Notamacropus eugenii: one gene and its partner. The protein of the gene in region 1 interacts with the protein of each later gene in a biochemical or structural test. Links are inferred from orthologs where the notes say so. Each region holds a gene or a part of one and is shown in the gene's direction. Other genes may lie near its edges.

What was found.
Region 2: the proteins of TOR1A (region 1) and TOR1AIP2 form a complex in vitro, tested with the Homo sapiens proteins (4 studies listed by BioGRID and IntAct, with this or other methods). The link is inferred for Notamacropus eugenii from reciprocal best matches to the Homo sapiens genes TOR1A and TOR1AIP2.

Annotation. Positions count from the first base shown.
Region 1 is NC_092872.1:481,392,040-481,399,482, reverse strand, and holds the start of TOR1A (torsin-1A), read left to right. Parts: upstream 1-4,338; 5' UTR 4,339-4,434; coding exon 4,435-4,615; intron 4,616-6,891; coding exon 6,892-7,157; intron 7,158-7,443. UniProt on the Homo sapiens protein: Protein with chaperone functions important for the control of protein folding, processing, stability and localization as well as for the reduction of misfolded protein aggregates.
Region 2 is NC_092873.1:465,746,582-465,754,030, forward strand, and holds the start of TOR1AIP2 (torsin-1A-interacting protein 2), read left to right. Parts: upstream 1-4,395; 5' UTR 4,396-4,569; intron 4,570-4,670; exon of another isoform or gene 4,671-4,862; intron 4,863-7,449. UniProt on the Homo sapiens protein: Required for endoplasmic reticulum integrity. Regulates the distribution of TOR1A between the endoplasmic reticulum and the nuclear envelope as well as induces TOR1A, TOR1B and TOR3A ATPase activity.

The DNA of each region.
Region 1 (7,443 bases):
ACATGTTCCCCAGTTAGTATCTCCCCCATTTATTGCCCCAGTGATGAGCATCCCAATACTATTTAACCAATTAATATCAGTTAGCTTTTACCAAAGGATGTTTGTTGAGAAGATATATTGGTCAGAAATACAAACATCCCCTCCACGCTGGGGTTCATGCTACTTCAGTCCCCGAGGAGAGTGGGCTCCAGCTTATAGCCACCGTCAGGAAACATTTGTCCCAGCAAGTCTGCTTATGAATGTGGCCTGGAATGTGTACTGGAAAAGTTGCCCCTTGATGAGTTTGCTACACCTAGTCCAGCAGTTCACTGCTCACAGCAGTGCTGATGCCTCTCCACTCTGCTGCTGTTGCTGATGAAAATGACACACTTTGGGATGGACTCCAGATCCTGGGCCACTTGTGACTCCCCTAATCTTTCAAAGCTTATAGGGTCACAGTGTGGTTCATTTCTAACATGTCACCTAAAAGTAGGAAAGAATCAACAAATAGACAGAAAGAAAAAGACATCATATGTTCCGAGCCATATGTAGGACCTGTTTGTTGGCCCTGGTACTTCTTCTCACACCTAGAGGCTTAACAGCAGGTATTGCCTTGCTCACCACAAGGAAAGAAAAACTAGGGAAGCCAGCTGATGCAGCCAACCAAAAAGCCTTTTCTTCACTGCAAAGTAAACAAGCATAAAATGACAGGATATGCTTAGTAGTAGAGTAGTCCCCTCCATTCTTTCTTAGCTGACATTGAGAAGCAGGTTTACCAAACAGGCAATTAATCTCAGTCAGGAGAATGACCTCTCTTTGGACAGGGTCCTATCACAATTATGCGGGAAACTTTTCTGCAAGACAAGAGAAAGGGAACATTGGGAAAGAATAGGTGATGTGAAAAAAAATGATATAAATAAAACTTTATTCTAAAAAAAAAAACAGAATATAAACTTCTTGAGGGTGATAGTTATATTGATTTTTGTATGTGTGAGCCCTAGCCCTGGCATTCATAAGCCAAGTATTCCTAAGTGGTAGACTTAGGACATGGTAGACTTCCTCCCAACAACCCCATGTATTTCACTATCCAGGGACATCAACTTCCTTGTTCTTCCTTGAATGAAATATTACATCTGAGCAAGCATTTCCTTTGGCTGCTTCCATGCCTGGAATGCTCCCCTTCCTCATCACTCCCTGGCTCAAGTCCTAGCTAAAACCCCACCCACATGAAGCCTTCCCAAATCCCTCAATTCTAGTGCCTTCCCCCCATTGATTATCTAAAATTTATCCTGTATATATCTTGTTTCTACATGGTTTTACATGTTTTTCCTTTTAGATTGTGCTCCTTGAGGGCAGACACTTTGCCTTTCTTTGTATCCCTAGCTTTTGGCACAGTGCCTAGCACATAAGAGGCACTTAATAAATGTTTTTTGACTGATGGCTGATTCACTGACAAGTATGCCTATCTTCATTGGTAGAGAGTTCTGTATACAAATGAAATGATAGATTATAGATTTATATATAGGTATAATTTCTGTCATAGATAAAGTAAAAAAAATATATTTTGTACACATCTATGGAATAGTGATTTCAGTCTATCAAATGTCAATGAAAGATCATCAAGGGCAGATTTTCATTTTTATCTTTGTATTTCTAATATTTAACCTAACACATAGTAGGCAGTCCAGTTGTATTCAGTTTTGTGGCATATTTGCAGTGGTCTGCTAGACCTCGGCCATGTGATTTGCCTTCTGTGCTTCCTTCCTTCCTGCGTGTTCTCAAGTCACAACTTCCCTATCTATAAAATAAAGAGGTTGAACACGAGGTGGGCTCTTTATGATCTTAGGATTTGCCAAATGACTAGTGAATTCTGATAGTAGAATTGAACAGACTAACCAAGGCCCTTTTACTGCCTTATTGAGGAGAAGTGTTTTCTAGTTGCAACAAGTCTCTTTATGGAGAATTTGGTTGTGGCAGACTCTAGTACCAGTGGGCAGTACAAACACATCTAGTCTGCCTTTCCTGTGAAGAATCACAGAACCTCAGACCTATAAGGGTTCTTGGAGGCCAACTCCCTCATTTTACAGAAGGGGAAACCAAGTCCCATTGAAGTTAAGGTGATGTATAGTGAGAAAAGCATTTACCTTGAAATCAGATAATTCATTCAGACAGAGAGATAACTTTTAGAAGAGCCATCAGCAAGGCTGCCCAAGGAAGACCCCAAGTTCAGTTCAAACTTGTATTAGTAGGTCAGATGGTAATAAGAAAAAAGCCACATTTGGAAAATGTCACTTGACTGGTGAATTTGAGAAGGATGTGGTCACCTTGGATGTTGAGGTCCTTCCCCTTGTTTTCCATGCTAACAGTAGTCCTATTAAATTCAATGTTTAGGATACAGTTAACCAAGAGAAATTTGGTGGTCTGAGAAGGATTATTACATCCAAACTCAGGGCACAATTTTAATGTTCGATGTAACACTGGGAGTTGCTTACAAGAAAGAGCCTAACTACCCTAGAAATCTGATACAAGCATTAGAAAATATCCCTATCAGTTGTGTGACAACAAAGTGAATATTAAGGACAAAAAAGCCAAGACAAAATCCATTGTCTTCTACAGGAAGAAAACAGTCTCCAGTATGAAAGCTCACTGGTTCTGGAGACCAAAGGCCTGGGTTAAATCTACCCTCTATAGTTTACCACCTGTACAACCTTAGGCAAGTCATTTAACCTCCTGGGCCTCAGTTTCCTCATCTGTAAAATGGAAAAAGTGGACTAGATGGTCGCAGGCTCTCAGAATCTTGACACATCAAGATACCCTGGAAAGGTCGAATTCCTAATGTGTGGTCCTTAGAACCCTGGGGTGTCTGAGACCTTTTCAGGGGGTGCCTGAGATCAAAATTATTTTCCTAAAAATACTAAGATATTACTTGCCTATTTAAATACTCCTCCCTTTTCCAACTACACACAGTTGGTCCTATTCATATATTCAGTCAAAACTGTATCACAATATACAATGCAGAAGCAGATAGGAAAATCAGGTGTCTTCCATTAAGTCAAAATTTGAAAAGATTTGTAAAGCAATGCTTTCTCACTAATTCATTGTTTTGGAAAATAGGGTTATTTTTTGTAAAACATTCATGTTCACTTGTGATACATTGTCATTTTTAAATGAATTAATAAATGAATATTTTAAAATTGTATCAAGTTTTAAGTTGTAGGAAGGGAACAAACATTTATTAAGTACTTATGTATATATATATATATATATGTGTGTGTATGTATTTACGTATATGTATATATATGTATATATACATTGCTGATCTGGAAATTTGGTTAAAGGAGGCAAACAGGGTAGGTGATATGTTAATGCATATTGTTTATTCACTTTGAGCTAGTCTAAACTAGAACTTGTACAAAGAGACAAAATATAAGTTCTGACTGACTGATACAAGAGTGACAAGGCTTAAATCTGTTTTAGGACAATCCCAGGATATCTGTGTCCCTCCCTCAGAATTACATTCTATGTGTTTATACCATGAGAAAGGAATTTTCTTAATTGAATAAGTTGTAAATACAATAAGAGAGTTGACAAAGTGCCAGTTGAAATTATGACCCAGGATATCTGTGTTTTCTTTACTATTAACATGTTATAACATTTAAATGTCCACAAAATACTAAGATACAGAAAAAAGATACTGTGTCCGATTAAGGGTCACATCCTTAAACAGAGGAAAAAGGAAAAGCCCCCTCTAGCCTTGTTGACATAGGAAGAGGTATTCTCTGAGTTTACTCAGAGAATAAAGAGGTTGTTTGGGCCAGGCTCTTCTTCTGATTGATTAATTCAGGTTCTAGCCCTTATTAAAGTCCAAAAATGATATTAAATGATTATTAACATACATACACATGTATATGTGTGCCAGGAACTGCAAGTGCTTTACAGATGCTATCTCATTTGATCCTCACAACAACCTTGGGGGGAGGGGCTATTATTCTTATTTTAGTTGAAGAAACTAAGGCAGACAGATGAATATGACTTGCCCAAGGTCATACAGCCGAATTTGAACTTACGTCTAACTGGCCTAGCAGCTCTATCCACTATCCACTCTGTCCACCTATATGGACAAAGATAACTCCTGTAAAGGAAAGTTTTTTGAGGTCCTCAATAATTTTCAAGAGTGTAAAATGGTCCTGAGACTAAAAAGTCTGGAATCAGAGTCTTAAGCAGTTGGAGGGGAGGGAGGAGGCCGGCTCTTTGCCCCACTCCAAGATGGCCGGCTCCGGCTTCGCTGCCCGTCCTCGGAGGCGGCGCGGGAAGTGTTTTCCCCTCACAAAGATGGCGGCGGGCGGTAGAGGAGGGGCGGAGCCGGAAGCGGCGGCGGCGGCCTGTCATCTTCACCGGCCGAAGCCGTGGCCGGGAAGGCGGGCTCGGTGTGGCTCGGCTCCGTGCGGTCCGGGCATGAAGCTGGTCCGGGCCGCCCTGGGCCTGCTGCTGCTGGCGCCGCCCTTGGTGCGGGCCGTGGAGCCCATCAGCCTGGGGCTGGCCCTGGCCGGCGTGCTCACCGGCTACATCTCCTACCCGCGCCTCTACTGCCTCTTCACCGAGTGCTGCAGCCAGAAGCGGAGCCTCAGCCGCGAGGGTAGGGCCGGGGCCGGGCCGGGGGCCGGGGCCGGGCCGGGGGCAGGGAGGGCGGCCCCGTCCTCTCGCGAGTCTCAGTTTCTCCATCAGTACAGTGGGGCGATGAGCACCTCCGGACCCTGGGTGCTCCCCGGAAGCTGGAGGCCAGGAGTGTGGAGAGACCCGCTCTGAGATGTGGGGAGAAGCGGGGGTCCTGGGGGGACTTTGGGGGTCGTGAGGGCCAACCCCGTCATTTCGCCGGCCCTTTAGAGAGGACGAGCAGCCTGCCCAGGGTTCCACAAGTGGGTCCGCGTCGAGTGAGGCCCCGGGGTTGGGGAGTGTCCGCCCAGCTCACTGCCCTCGACCGCCCCGGAGGCACGTGCTGGTGCGGAGGGAAGGGGTGGCCTGAGGTGTCTGGGACTGGACTCCAACTCCGAGCTTGACCGCTCCAAGCCGCGGACTCTCCACAGCGCCCCCTGGCTGCGACAGAAACCGTGCGGATAAAAACAGAATTGAGAGGGCCCCTGCCCCTCTAGAGCTGCCTTTCTTACTGGGATGGTGGTGACTAGGGCAGGGAGTTTGGGTAAGATGGTGGGTGGAACAATAATAGCACAGTTGGTCGCCATCTCCCATCTCCAGACCTTTGCCCTATTCCTGGAGCACCTCCTTTTCCTCATAGGGCCCCTCTCTTCCTTTCAGATGCAGTTCAGTTGTTTGCTTCTACTTGAAGCTTTTCCTGATTCCTCAAATTCTAGGGGCCTCCTTTCTCAAACTACTGTTTAACTACTTTGTATTTATTCTTTTTATGTTTGTTCCATATACACTTATATGACCTTGTTGTCTCTCCAGTTAAAATGTAAACTCCCCCTGAGTCGGCATTGCTGTTTTGTGTTTTCGTATGCCCAGTACCTAGCATTGGGCCTGGCATGATGCTTGCTTGGCAAATCCTTTCCAGAAAAAAAGGGTAGTATTGATTTGATTATAGTTGCTAAAGGGGAGGAGAAGGAGTTGCTGGGTTAGGTTAAAGAGGAAGACGCTTGAGTGAGATTGCATGCCTTGTCCAGTTTGACAGGCTTGGGCCCATGCTCCTAATTGGTGAGAACCAACCATAATTAACTGGCCCAAGACTTGGCCATGCTTCTTGGCAGAGGTCACCACGTGGAGAGGCAAGAATGAGTTTAGTGGATAAAAGTTAGGCTTGGAGTCAGAAAGAGCCAGGTTCAAGTCCTGTATGACCCTGGGTAAGTCACTTAAGTGTCCCCAGAAAATTATATGGATGAATAACCAGAGAGTTGTCCATCTGTATTGATGAAGGGAGTTTCTGCAACAAACTTTCCCTCTTATAGATGAAATCACAGGTCTGGATCAGAAGAAAAAGAGAGAAAACCCTCACCTCATAGTATTGTCAGTAAAACACTTTGTAATCCAGAATTTTGAGCCATTATTAAAATAGCAAAGTTAGAATTAAAACCCAGGGTGCCTGACTCTGAAGTCCAGTGGTCTTTCCATTGTATTGTATTTCCTCAAGGATGGAGATCATAGAAAAGTAAAACTTGGAGATTGGGGAGGGAGGGAGGGAGAGGGGATAAGGAGTGGTGGTATCTGGTAAGGACAAGGGAGAACATTTTGGGTGCCATGGAAAGAGTAGTGGGGGCTCCCTGGGTAAGTGCAGAGATTTTGTGGGGAAGAGGTTGGAAGTTGAGATAGGGAGCTGCTTGCTGCCTCCAACAAAAAATGGAGTTTGTAGACCCTGCTTCAGCCTTCTTTGCAAGAGAAAATAGAATACTTTTGTAATTGAATCTTCTTAAAAGTATATTCTTCATTGAGAAGAGGAGAGATATTGAAAGAGGGAGTCTTGTCTCCCTCAGTTGTACAGGTGGTGGTTGAATCTACATGAGCCCCATTTTCCTCCTTTCCCAAGATAGGAAGCCATAAAGTAAGGTTAGATTTGGCTACTTAATTCTTAGATGTGATGTAGACACTGAAGAGGCAGAGGCCTTTCTGCCAAACTGATGGACAGTTTTTGTTCCTGTTTGAAAAAGCTGGAAGATGATGTGTCGTTGGCATAGGTGGGGCCCAGGAAGTTTGCAGCAAGGAAGAAATAGCAAGGGTTTGGGGGAGGGGGAGTCCTCCACAGAATTTCTTTGGGGCTGAAGAGTCAGGTTATTTTAGTCAACTGCTAGTTATAGCTGGTTAGCATCCCAGAAGATCTGAACCAATCCTTAGCTGGTAGTATGTTTTATCTAGTCTGCCAACCAGTTTTTTACTTGTATATGACAACTTTTGTTTTTTCCTCAGCATTACAGAAGGACCTTGACAGCAAGCTCTTTGGACAGCACCTTGCAAAGAAAGTGATATTAAATGCTGTGTCCGGGTTCATAAGTAACCCAAAGTCCAAGAAACCTCTCACCCTCTCCCTGCATGGATGGACTGGCACAGGGAAAAATTTTGTCAGCAAAATCATAGCTGAGCATATTTATGAGGGTGGACTTAACAGTGATTATGTGCACCTATTTGTGGCCACATTGCACTTTCCACATGCTGGGAACATCGTACAATATAAGGCAAGAAGATAATCTGGAATCTTTCCCAGCTGCACAGGGGTTGGGCTTTGTTTGATGTTTTTGTGTGGGTGATGATGAAGTTTATGGGATAATATGCTAAACAAATGAATGATCTTTGAGAATTTCTTTCTGGATGTCCCTTTTGTATTATATTTTGCACCTTTGTAAAGGGTTATACAGCATTTGGGAGGCAGATGTGTTTGATGCACAAGAGCAGTTCAGCTGTTAGAGCTTTTTAATGCTTCCTTTGTAATGTCCATAGTGCTGAATTCGTGAGATCGACATT
Region 2 (7,449 bases), on another chromosome or scaffold:
ATGCGTTGCCAAAAATAGCTCGAGTGGTTTCCCCAAAGAAATCTTTTAAAAAAGAAAGAGCATAGACAATTTTAGACAGAAGTTTGCTTGTTTGTGGCCTTGGTCTACCTGGGAGGACTACTTATATCCTGGCCCCTCCTCTGTTTGTGAGGTGACAGCAGAAGCTGCAGATGCCTAACAACATGTGTGTTTCACCCAGCAACCCCTTAAACCTTAACCTAGAGAAAAGTTTTAATGTCAGAGCTGTCCAACAGAGAAGTTGTTTGTCTTCAGGAATGTCATCCCTATTGGGAAGATACATTTAGAGCTGGAAAGGACTTCAGAGGCCATCTAGTCCAACCCCTTATTTTACAGATAGGGAAACAGATCCAGAGAGATCAAGTGACTTGAAGGTTTACAGGTAATCAGGGGTGAGATTTGAGCCACTAAGCCTCTGATTCCAGGGCCAATGTAATTTGTGTACCCTACCGGAGAATTTATCTCTTAGGTTTGTAGAAGGGATTCCTTCCTGTCAGATTAGCTTAAGACCAGCATAAACTTTTGTCATTTCAGTTACCAATCTCTGAAAATTACTATAACAACCCCTAATAAGGGTTTGGCTAGAATTTGTAATTCTCCATTGGGAAAGACTGCAACCCCAGTTTCTTCTTAAACTGGGGAGAACTACAGATCCCAGTGGCTTTTGTGACCAGTCAATCCAGGAGTGGTTTGATTACAATTTTAAAATATTTCTTAGTAAAGTGCCTAGAATGTCATGAAGAAAAATTTCATCTTTTAAAGCACTGAACTAAATTTCATTCTGAACTTCCCTTTTTACTGTGGAGGGGCACTACCCTGTCCCCAGTCATTCAAATTCAAAACCTTGTTGTCCTGGCCATTTGCTATTCCTCACTCTTGTCCCTCATATTCAGTCTGTTGTCAAATCTTGTCATTTCTAGCTCTGTGACATCTCTCATACATCCCATTCTCTCTACTCATACAGCCAGTACTCCAGTTCATACTCTGTCCTATCTCCACTCCACTACTGGAGTAGTTTTTTTCTAAATTAAAGACCTAACTGACATTGAGTTCTGTGGCTCCCTATTCCAAGATCAAATTAAAGACTTTGGTTTGACTTTTAAAGCTCTTCGTGATTTGTCCTCTTCCCCTTTGAAATCTTACACTTTACTTGATTCTACACACAATGTGATCTAGATACAGTGACCTTGCAGTTCTGTGGTCGTGATGTTCCATCTCTTGTTACCATGCCTGGCACTCATTCCCCTATCTTAGAGATGGATACTATTAAGACACAAACAGGGGTGTGAGTGTGTGTGTGTGTGTGTGTATAATATGTAGATTATATATCTATCTGTTCTTTCTTTGGATGTAGATAGTGTCTTCATATGTCCTTTATTTTTTAATTTTTGGATTTATAACAGTGAAAGGGACTTAGTCTTTTGAAGTCATTCTTAAAACAATATTGCCGTTACTGTCCACAATGTTCTCTTGGTTCTGCTTATTTCACTTTTCATCGTTTCATACAGGTATTTCCATGCTTTCTAAGATCATTGAGCTCATCATTTCTTATAGTATTCCACTGCAACCATATATCACAATTTGTCCAGCCATTCTCCAATAGATGGACATCCCCTCAATTTCCAGTCTTTGACACTGCAAAGAGAACTTCTATAAACATTCCATTCACATTCAAAGTTATAATTAGTTTATGAATTTCTCTCCATCTTATTTTTACTCAGTTTTGTTTCTTAGCCTCTCTTTTTACCCTATCCCTGTCACCTTATCTTCTCTCCCTCTCAAGTCCCTCTCCTACTTCATCCACCCCTCCAAGAGTCTCTTCATCTCTCACAATCTCAATCAGTACATTCCTCTAAAAGTCCCTCCCCTAGTTTTCTCATTTTTGCATGCTCAGAAGACTTCTACACTCTCCTGGAATATTCTTTCCTATCATCTCTGCCTCTTAGTTTTTTTGACTTCCTTCAAGATTGAGTTCAAAGCCCACCTTCTGTGGAAGGCTTTTCTCTGACTCATCTCTGCCCCCACTCCCAGATGTGAATGGCTTCCCCCATTGATGCCATATGCTCTATATAGATTATGTATGTAGTTAGTTATTTGTTACTATCTCCCCATTAGACTGTAAGTTCCTGGAGGGAAAGGGAGATTTCCCCCCCATTCTTTGCATACCCAGTGCCAAGCACAGTGGAGGGGGGCACAAAATATACACTTAAATGCTTATTGGTTGACTGATACTAAGTACTTTTAACAGTGGAGACTGACTGGTGATGCAGTATCTTCTGAAGGAATGGGGATCCAGGTTTCTGTTAAGTCCAAGAAATTGTAAAGACTAAGAGGAAGCCATCTAAGAGGAAGAGGAATTTATCAACAACAGAGCAGGATTCCAGAGGGCACAAGGAAAGGGGAAGACAGAGTAACAGAATTGCAGAGGTGTATGGTTGAGGTTGATGGGAATGAGAATAGAGAATGCTATAGCAAGGGAAGATTTTCAACTTGGCAGATGATGACTGAATCACAAACATGCTTAGGTCTCTCCAATAATTAAAACAATAATTACAATCACATTTACATAGCTCCTTAAAGTTTACAAAGCACTACCAAAATAAAGTGCAAATGAGTACATGATTTAGGTATAAAGGCTGATACTATAAACAAATTAGGGGAGCAAGGAAGAGTTCATCTGTTAGATTTATGGTGAATGGAGGAATTTATGACCAAACAAGAGATAGAGAACATTATGAAATGCAAAATGAATAATTTTGATTACATTAAATTGAAAAGTTTCTGCACAAACAAAGCCAATGCAACCAAGGTTAAGAGGGAAGCAGAAAATTGGGAAAGAATTTTTACAATTAATATCTTTCATAAAGGCTTCATTTCTAAAATATATAGAGAACTGAGTCAAATTTACAAGAATACAAGTCATTTTCCAAATGATAAATGGTCACAGGATATGAATAGGTAGTTTTCAGAGGAAGAAATTAGAACTATAGTCGTAAGAAAAAATGCTATAAATCAGCATTGATCATATATTGGCTCTGACCACACTTGAACAATTAATATTTCTTCAGTTACTTAAATCTGAACTTTATTTGCATAAAAATGTTTTATAATCATGTTCATATAGTTTCTGGGTTTCTCTTGGCAGCTGTAATCTCAGGTATTTTATTCTTTCCATGATTGTTTTAAATAGGGTATCTCTTACATCTCTTGTTGCAGGTTTGAACTTTTAAGTGAAGGATGAACTGCGCTGCTAGTCTTAGCCTTGTGCTTCTTTTTAAATTTCAGGGTAGTTAATCCTTTATTTATGTATTTTACATGAATAACATGATATGCTTTACTGAATACTTTATTACAATTAAGTAAACTATATTGCTAGCATCCCCCATAGCAAATTATTAACCCTGTCAAAAAGGAACTTAGCTTTGTGTTGAAAAAGACAGCTCGAAAAAGTTCTTCATTCCCAATGCCTTAAGTTCCTTAATTACCTGTACTTTTGTTATTTGAATTTCTGATCCAGTCAGTCTGACTGGAATTGCTGTCTCAAAAAATACTAGTGACTATCAAATTGCCTAATACAGCCTAATTAATTTCAATGCTAGTTACTTATTACCTGTATTTCTGTGAAGGATCTAGACATTTTTGATCATCTTTTCCTTCTAGATACTCTCACTTTTCTTATGAATGTTATATGTTCTTGGTTGTTGTTACTATAATAATGTGTGTATAGTGCTTTGAGGTTCCCAAAGAGCTTTCTTCACAACAGGACTGACATGAGTAGTTCAGTGCAGGTGTTATTATCCCCATTTTGTGGATTTAGAGGTGAAGGCTCTCAAGGGTACATTTCTTGAATGGTCCACTACCTAGTAAGTTTGATAATCAGTTGAAGGAAATGGGGTTGTTTATCCTGGAGAAGAGAAGACTTGAGGGTAAGCAAGGAGGGGAATGTTATAGCTGTGTTAAAGTATTTAAAAGATTGTCACCTGGAAGCAGGTTATATTCCTTTTGCTTGGCTCCAGAGGAAGAACTGGGATTAGTGGATAAAAAAAAGTAAAAGGGAAATTTTTCCTAATAATTCAAGCTGTCCAAAAGTGGAATGGGCTTGTTCAGGATATAATGGATTCTGCCCTCACTGGAGGTTTTTGAGGGATGCTTTCTTCATGTTTGCATTGGGCTCTTCCAGCTCTGAAATTCTGTGATTCTGCATATTTAAAGTGACCAGAATAATTTAGAGTACCTTACTTCATAGGTTGGAAAGTAGTTAAAGAATTAATAATAGCTGTCATTTGTGTAATGCTTTAAGATTTGCAGAGCACTTTGCATGTAAACTCCCTTGATCCTCACAGCACGCCAGTGAGGTAAGTGTTCTTATTATTCTAGAACTGAGGAAACTGAGGCTGAGAGAAGTGATGGGACTTGCCCAGGGATTGCCCAGCTAATAAAAGGACAAATGACAACTAGCTGATGTCAGCAGAAGACGGGAGCATATTTTTAGAATATTAATAATTTTCTGAAAATAAGAATTTTGAAGTGCTACTTACCCAACAAAATGAGGTAAGTACATGTTGTTGTTAATAATGGTAACTTGTAGTTACATAAGCTTCCTTACAGGAAGGGTAGAAAAAACTACTACTCCCAGCATTCCACTGGACACCTTTTCCTTGGGGCAAAGTTCACAGTCACATTGACCGGGGAAGATTTTGAGGCCCGGTTGTGTGTAGCTACCTGTTTTTCCAGTCCGGATTGAAAACTGAAAAGTTTCATGCCTTTGGAATTTGATTATTGAAGTGGGCTTTGATTCAGAATCCACTATTAAGAACGCTTTTCCTGTCATCAGGAATCTGTGAGTAAGTAAACTCAGTTTCTTCATCTGGAACATAGAAGGGTTAAATTAATTGATCTTTAAAGTCCTAGCTCTAACAATCCCATGATTAAAATTAACGTTCAACTTTACATTGTTTCCAGAATGCTTGCTTTTCACTATTGCACTTTTACCAACCCCAGTCCTCCCCCTCAAAAACAAGTCACCAAATAAGGAAGAATGTAGTATTTTGTGTTTTGGTGGAAATATGGGAAATATAGGTTCTAGAGAATGAACTGGAAACCTAGCTCCTGGGTCTGGTTAAAATCCTTACCCTGTTTAGCTATGTAGGAAAATTAAGAATAGTGCAGAGTTGAAGACAACTTTATGATGAGCGTCTCTAACCTTTAAGAGTTGGGAAAGAGCAAGGCTTGAAGCTTAGGTTCTTCAATTCATCCAACAGCTTGGTTTCGTAATATAAATGTGCAGTGCTCCTCCAAATTACAGAAAGTTACCCTGTCCTTCCTTACACATGATATTTAGAATGGTTTTGTGTTGTATCAGTCAATCAATAAGTATTTATTAACTACCTACTATGTGAGAGGCACTGCAAAGCTGTGGAGATACAGACAAAAATGAAACCAAGTTTGTTGAACTGATTTATTTGAATTATTTAAAACTCAGCTGTACCCACCAAACCTATTATAACTTTTTCTGTTATCAGAAATGCCGAATTTGAAACTTTGTTTTTCTTATTAGACTTGTTTCAGTTCCCAGTGAGGAACTCTTCCTATCAAACCAGATCAGGCCTGTAGTACATCTTATTGGTGGCTTTTTGGATTGGTTAATTGACTTGCCCAGAGTCATATAGCCTATATGTATAAGAAGCAGGACTTGAACCTAAGTCTTAGAGGCCAGCACTCTCTCAAAACTTCATATTTTTACTTTATATCATTAACTAAAATGGATCCTTGTACCTGGCCAGAAATCTTTTATGTTGTTTTGGTTCTTATGTTAAACAATAATGAATCATAATCATAACAATGATACTCATTATTATATAATAATATATAAAATAGTAGTCACAACTATAATAACAGTCATACCTTCTTAACTTATTTTCCCTATTCACTTACCTTTTTATGTACCTTATTAATTAATAAATGACCCATTGGGGTAATAAAAATTAAGGTACCTTAGCGGGTGATTAAAAAAATTTCAAAACCTCACTAAGCCTTGGGGCTTTCCGGTGTTATATAACGCCTTGGGAAACATAGTGTAAAATGTTTACAGTGAAGGACGCACGGCTATGGTAGTTGGTAGATCAGAACTGGATGACCAGTTATGCTGTGAAATTGTCATATAACCTTTGGGTACGTGAGTCACAGATTATTTATTTGACTTTGACAATAATGTGAAGATAATAGCATTGGTCTAAAGAGCTTTGCTCTGTAATTGGCAGCAGGGTAGAAAGAGCATTGACCTTGGAGTAAGAACCTGTGGTGCAAGTTGCCATACAGATAATAGAGTCGCAGTCAGAATTGGAACATAAGTTTCAGATTCCAAATGGAATCTTTCTATTATACCACATTGCCTTGGAATAGTTGTTAAAAAATTAGTGCAGTCAAACTAAGAGCCCTTTCAAGGGATTACATATGTAAAACTTACTAGGGAAACTCTCCTAAAAATGAAATGAAATATTATGGGCTAGGAAAGCCTTGAAAATTAAATATACCATAGAGAAAATAAATATACACATATGTACATATAAACACATATATGTGTGTGTACATATATTTTATATACATTCATTTAAAACTTTTGAGTTCCAAATTCTCTCTTCTTTCACGCTCCTCTCCTACCCATTGAGAAGGCAAGCAATATGATTCCCATTATACATGTGAAGTCATGCAAAACATTTTCGTATTAGCCATGTAGCAACAAAAAAAGGCAAGGAAAATAAAGTGGAAAAAAATGCTTAAATAAAATACTTAAAAAATGCTTAAGTAAAAACAAGGCTTAAATAGAGTTCATCAGTTCCCTCCCTGGAGGTGAGTAGTATTTTTCATCATGAGTGTGTTGGAATTGTGGATCATTGTATTGATCAGAGTAGCTAAGTCTTTCACAGTTTATCATCACTACAATATTGCTGTTACTACGTATGATGTTCTCCTGGTTCTGTTCACTTTACATCATATCCAGATGTTCATATAAGTCTTCTCAGGTTTTTCTGAAGCCATCCTCTTTGTCGTTTCTTCTAGCTCAGTAGTATACCATCACAATCAGATACCACAAATTGTTCAGCCATTCCCCAATTGATGGGCATCCGTTCAATTTCATTTTTTTGCTACCATGAAAAGAACTGCTATATTTTTGTACATTTGGATCCTTTTTCTTTGATCTCTGTAGGATATAGACCTAGTAGTGGTTTTGCTGTAAGAAATCTTTTAAATGAGAACTCCAGAGTTTTACAGAAGTTATTTTATGGGCTGCTTTTATGGTTTTGTGTACCATGTGAAATTCAGCTGATTGAAATTGCCCAGGGGAAGTTCTTTTTATCTTCTGACTGTCAGAAATGAAAAATTATCACCACTAGTGAAACATAGAGGGGATTTTTCCTTTAATAAAGTAAT